Kluyveromyces lactis: one gene and its partner. The protein of the gene in region 2 purifies or fractionates together with the protein of the main gene of each other region. This does not show direct contact. Links are inferred from orthologs where the notes say so. Each region holds a gene or a part of one and is shown on either strand. Other genes may lie near its edges.

Region 1 (3,332 bases), on a different chromosome or scaffold from region 2:
TATGGACTCATGATCAAGTAGATTATATTGCAATATCACAGTTGCTCTTCAATAAGGTCTACATATTCAAAGATGCTGGCAACTCTGCACTAGAGGTCTGGTTAATATTGGAACTTGACACATTAGTTGACCTTAACACTGTCAAGTCCTCTATTGAGTTTGGTAAGGGTGTTCACTTCTCACACTCCCGGAAAAGGCTATTTCTTTCTTCTCCGGGCAGTTTTAATGGCGCTGGTGCTATCTGGAGTGTCTCTATGTCAGAAATGAAGAGAACAGTTGAACTTTGGAGATCCAAACATTTGCTCATAACCGCTTTAAAACACCTTGAATTCGTTAACCCCGAGCAAAAGAAAAAGGGTTGGTCTAATTTCGGCTCCAATTTGGCTGAGTCCCCATTAGATGACTTATTAGTTTCCATTCCACAATTTGGCTACGGTGACTTACATGACCTTTCGCTAATCGGAGCATTATTGATTCATTAGAATACATCACAATTACGTGAAATTTTTCGATATATGTACGCTAATTATCAATATTTACAAGATACATATGCCATTATAACGTCTATCGTCCGAGATATTTCCTGGTTATTCGGTGGAATCGCTGGTTTTTTTCTTCTCAATTCTGCGTTGCAGCTTTTCCTGCCTTTCCCGTTTCCGTTGCTCCTTGAGAGCTTTTTTATCAACTCCATTATTAGTATTTACAAGATTTGGAGTTACTTTCATAATTATTCTTTGATTGATCAAACCTTCTTGTGTAATCTGTGATGAATATTCGCTGATTATTTCGTTTAGCTTCTCCAAAACCTCTTCCCTTCTTTTCATTTCCTTTTTAGAAATAGAAGATTCCTGCATCGCTTCTAATTCCTCCTCATCTATAGGTGACAAGTTAGAAGAGTCTTTATCATTAATGAAAAGAGCAATCTTGCTACCTTTTTCCAAATTAGAAACAATTTCACTACATTTCTGTTTTTTCAAATCATAATCCGATATTTGCCATGAAACCTTGATTGATTTCCAAGATGAATCCGCTTTCGAGTCTGGAGAGCGACGGCCAGTTTTCTTTATATTGACACCCAATTTTATAAGTTCTTCTTCTTTAATTTTAGATAGTTTGTCGGAATAATTCTTTAATGCCTGTCTTGTTGGCACTTCTTTGACAATGGGTAGACGAACATCTCCGGACGCAGCATTATCGATACTCACCATAGCTATCCCATTTATCTCAAGGTTAACGCCCTTCAAAAAGTTCCTAATATTGGCTTCTTCTAGCTTGCTAGTTTCTGGATTGATTGCCTTGATGTTACCCTTTGAATTTATTGCTAGTATTTCCTCTAGCACCGAGTTGGCAGCTGCCTGCTGTTTCTCTGTTCCACTATTCCATCTGAAAACAAGTTTTTTATTCCGTTGATCTTTATTACCGTTTCTATGGCGGTGTTTATCACGATTTTTATGTGGAGAATTGTTACCGCTCTTTCGATGTGTCGCTGGATTGTATGTTGGTAGGTTAAAAAGAAGATCCGATACAGCCCTTGATTCGTTCTGGAGAACCCGATTATTGCAAAATAAACGTATTGAAGAAATGCTGTATTTAAAAGTAGTTCTGAGCATCTGTATATAGTGGTACTTCATTTATTTCAGCCCAACGTACCACATTTCAAGGCAATTCTATCATCGGAGATGACTTGAACTTAATCAAATCAAAAAAATACAACTGTCTTTCATATTAAGATTTTGAGATATTCTGACAGAGAAGGGAAAGCGTTGATATCTGTCACGTGATCATTTTTACTAATATGTTGCTGGTTTTGCCTAGAGACTGACAGCTGAATAGGTTCAAACAAAAGAGAACAATAGAATGAAAATAAAGTCGATGCGAAATATTAATGTATTAAACGATGCAGATGTGAATGTAAGGATAAACCTTTGAACTATATATGTACGACAAAATGATATATATGTCAAAATATACTAATTGTATCTGAAATTTTGAGCATTTCAAAGAATAGAAAGTGCAATAGATAAAAGTCACTTTGTAATTTTAAGGAAGTTATTTTCCTACTATGAAAGTCCTTGTATTACTATGGTACAGATGAAGGTAGTTTAGTCATATTTCATCAGTTTTCTTCCTCCGATTAAATATCTCTTTTCAAGTCCCCACAAAAAAAGAGTTTTCTTAGTTTAAGGAATTCCTTCTGATGAATTTAAAGTAAAATGAACGATTTACTTCCATGTTTAAATTATTTTGTTTGATTTTGGATTGATTCTGAAAAAAGTTCCGAACGCGAATCTGTTTAGCTCCTTTATAATTCAACACCCATAACCATGGCTAACAATGCCATTCTGACAAACAAACCATATCTCATTTGTCTGAAGTAAGCTGCACGATGATCGTAGTCAACCTCTTCACGAATCTCATTAACACGAGGTAGTGGGTGCATGACCACCATCTGTTGTTTAGCATGAGACAAGATCTTATTGTCAACAATGTAAGTGTCCTTGAGCTTCAAGTAATCTTCCTCGGTTTCGAACCTTTCTTGTTGCACTCTTGTACAGTACAACACATCGGATTTGGAAATGATTTCAGGTGTTAGTGTTTCACTTTCAATACCTAATAAGCCAGAATCTTGCAATTCTTTACGCAAGGCATTAGGCAACCTCAATTCCTTAGGAGCGATCAAGTTAATTCTAACTTGGTAATGTTGTAGCAAACGACACAAGGAGTGAACTGGTCTACCGAACTTCAAGTCACCCATAAAGGTAACAGTGATACCGTTGACAGTACCCAATTCTTCACGAATAGTGAATAGATCCAAGAAGGCTTGAGTTGGATGTTCACGAGAACCGTTACCACCGTTGATGATAGGAACAGGTGAGTACTTGGCAGCAATGTGGGCAGACATTTCGTCTGGATGTCTCAAGACAATTGCATCAGAGTAACAGGCTAATGTTCTGATGGTATCTTGCAATGTTTCACCCTTCTTAACAGAAGATGCAGAAGTGTTAATGTTGACAGTTCTACCACCTAAACGTTCCATAGCAGCAATGAATGAAGATGATGTACGGGTTGATGGTTCGTAGAACATTGTAGTCAAAACACGGCTCTTCATGACGTCCAAAACACCTTCCCTTTCAACACCAGCTCTGAGCTCTTGAGCAACTGCGAAGAGAGCATGGAAATCAGAACGCTTGAATTGGTTAACTGATAGAATGTTTCTTCTCAAGAATGGATTCTTTGTGCGGATCAAATTGATCAAAACACTTGGAGCGGAGAGCTCTTTAGGTGGTCTGGAGGACATAAGTCTTTGTTCCAATGGTTGATCCAAGATGGCT
Region 2 (3,183 bases):
AGGGACTCTATTACTCGACTACTAACTCTGGTGTCTTTGACCCCAGATGCGTTTTGCAGTCCCTGATATGGCGCATTCTGTTACAGTATTTTGCTTATACACAATCATTAATTTACATCTTCTTTTTCTTTTCCTTCCCCGTCAGGTTTCGTGAACCAAATATGGGAACTTTATCATGTACATAACGAATTATGTTGGTCAACGGTCTCTATTATTTAATCAAACTCTATTTTATCATTTTTACTATGCAACTTCAAGGCGTTTACGTACGGTGCCTACAGTGCACATTGTAATTCCTAAGTTTACATCTATATATACGTTCGTGTGTGTCATCTGACTCATATTAGGTTCCATCCAATTATTTTTTCGTTGTCATATATATTTCATTCCATTAGTTATGTATGACCGATAGAGAACGACATGGTCAAAGCTATTGGGGAAAACAGAAAGTGCTAAGCTCGATTTAACTGAACCATTATGAACACCTCGCATTCGCAGGAACCTAAGGACAGAAGTGTGAAAATTTCGAAAGCATTGGCTTATTTGCTGAGACATGGTGCTGTGAAGGAAAACTTGCCTATAGATTCTGATGGTTACATTGCATTGGATAGAATACTGCAGCATAACAGACTCAAAAGCTTGAAAGCAACGTCAACAGAAATACAGCATATTGTTGCTAGTAATGACAAGCAACGATTTCATATCAAAACTGATCCGAATACAGGGATAATGTACGTCTGTGCAACACAAGGACATACATTGAAGCAAATTGCTCCATCGCAACACGTTTTAAAACCAATTACCAACATAGAACAACTATCAAGTAAATTGGTTCATGGCACCAACGTATCAAACTGCATTTCAATTCTTCACTCAGGTTTCATCAAAAAAATGTCACGGAACCATGTTCATTTGTCTCCCGGCATTACTGGAAAAGATACGGATGTCATCAGTGGAATGAGAAGTTCTAGTAACGTTTACATCCATATCAAAAGGATCCAGGAAATGCTAGACAGCCTCAACCTTGTGAAATCATTAAATAATGTTTACCTAACTTCTCAGGACATACCGTTGAAATTTATTGATTTCATCCAAGTACGGAAAGGCAGATCTGCAGCATCTAGTGAACAACTTCAACAGCTAAAAAAGTTGGCTACAGAGATGAAAGTTCCAATCGAGATTATCTGAAACGACTTGATCGCTTTATCTATACATATATATATCACCTCTTAATAATTAATTGACTTGTTTTAGACTTTCCACTGACAACATCAATTTTTAGACGAGGCATATCGCTGTATGTACTCGCCGTTGTATTAAGTTCATATCAAAACGTCAGAACCCACCGAATGTTGTATTCCTTCTGTCATCATAAGAAATTTAGATCACGTGTGTTTTTATCATTTTGAACGCCTTGAAAATTTTTGATCTTTCATAAAACCTATGAGAGTGCGAAACTCGTTTCAGTATGATGAACTTGATTAGTTCTTATGGTATCACGGAGATATTTAGGTATAGGGTTGTAATAAACCAGGTAACGCTATATCAAGTTGTGATCTGTTTAAGTGTGTGACTAGCATTAATATATTTACTTAATAATGCTAGCTTCTACATTCTCTAAAAGGGCTTATAGCTCTGTCTCTCCGGACTTTTTAGCATCAGTTTTGCAAAGAGTGAAGGAAGTTCCTATCAAGGCAAGAGAACCACGTAAACCAAGATCTGACAGAAAGGTGAGGTCAGCTGGGAGGGAAGATAAGAGACAAACAGCAAGATTTGATGACAGATCCGGAGGAAATAAACCCAGGGATAATAGACAAGTCCGTAATGGTCAAGACCGTGGTGGTAAAAATTTTAGAGAAAGAACACAAAGAACGGATACTAGAGGAACCAATGGCCCGGTAGTACAAACAGGTACGGCTAAAAGACAGACACCAAAGATTACCGGTACTAATGAGTATAGTGAGATTTCAGGCAAAGTTCAAAATTTGGGTACCAGACAGAATCGTAGAAGCGATGAAAGGAAAACTCGTAAAACCGTTCCAGGGTTGAAAATTTCCAGTAATTTGGGATCGGAAAACGTTGTGCAAAATATTCACAACTCGGCTGTATATGTTCCACAAGATCCAACACCGTTATCGTTGCTAAGATACAGACCTGCTCTGGCTCCAACTTTCAGTGCAAGGACATTCAGATATGCAGTTTCAACACTAAAAGACGCCGACTTCCCTGTGCATCGTTCATTGAATGATGGTGTCACAATTAATGGAAAGAACGTCAGTAAGCGTATGACAGCGAACAAAGACAACTTTGGTGAATACGTGCCAGCTTCCATTTTGAAATTGCAGGTGGAACCGTTGACAAAAAACATCCAAATTTCTCCGGATCTAGAAAAACTTGAGCAATCCGTCAAGGGTAGTTTCCACATTCTCAAGCCATACACAAAGAAGGACTTTGCCAAACTAACAAAAGCAGAAGACAAAAGAGAGCAACTTCTGCAAAATAGCGAAATTGTGAGAAAGAGTTTAGAACAAAGCAACTTGGCTTCAACTGAAAAAGAACTTTTGCAAAAAGTCTGTTCCGGTTTGGCACCAGTCTCTGAATTGACAGCTTGATTACAAGCCAGATCGCCTATAGACAAGATTAACCTCTATTTTTCATGTATATATTTTCACAATGCACTTAATGATATATCACACTATTTCACAGTTCTAAACAACGTTCGATATTGTTTATATTCTGAGTACGATGCCTTAAAATTCCTTTCTTAATCTGTAGATTATATGTTGATTCGTCTTTTCGTCTGAGTAACGGAAATAGGAAACCCGATAACACTGATATTTGAATGGTTGGGGGTATTTTTTCCAAAATTTCTATAAGTAGCCCAGAGTCGTTTATACAACACGTATTCTTGTTAAGGAATTGACTAATGACCCTAGTATTGTTGAGACTTAGATAGTGATCGATAACTTTCAGCACTACCTTATCGTTGGCTTGTAACAAGGACTCCACCGTAGCAAAATCATTCCGTGATAAATATATATCAAGTAGTTTTTCGAACCCGATCTTTTCCTTTAATACACTGATATCTGTGATCATGATTCGTAGAACGAAAGAAGCATCGATATCATCAATAATAGAACCTTCTTTTATATTTAAAGCCTTTTCTATTTTCAGAAGCTTGGT

Evidence for each region.
Region 1: the proteins of RSM28 (region 2) and AIM23 purify together in Saccharomyces cerevisiae (affinity purification with mass spectrometry; 3 studies listed by BioGRID). This does not show direct contact. The link is inferred for Kluyveromyces lactis from reciprocal best matches to the Saccharomyces cerevisiae genes RSM28 and AIM23.

Annotation. Positions count from the first base shown.
Region 1 is NC_006041.1:1,376,398-1,379,729, reverse strand, and holds AIM23 (Aim23p), read right to left. Parts: upstream 1,632-3,332; coding exon 588-1,631; downstream 1-587. Other genes in the region: KLLA0_E15401g (uncharacterized protein), read left to right, coding at 1-482; URA2 (bifunctional carbamoylphosphate synthetase/aspartate transcarbamylase), read right to left, coding at 2,303-3,332.
Region 2 is NC_006039.1:1,053,448-1,056,630, reverse strand, and holds RSM28 (mitochondrial 37S ribosomal protein mS46 RSM28), read left to right. Parts: upstream 1-1,598; coding exon 1,599-2,612; downstream 2,613-3,183. Other genes in the region: TPT1 (tRNA 2'-phosphotransferase), read left to right, coding at 478-1,188; CORVET complex subunit VPS3, read right to left, coding at 2,701-3,183. UniProt on the Saccharomyces cerevisiae protein: Component of the mitochondrial ribosome (mitoribosome), a dedicated translation machinery responsible for the synthesis of mitochondrial genome-encoded proteins, including at least some of the essential transmembrane subunits of the mitochondrial respiratory chain.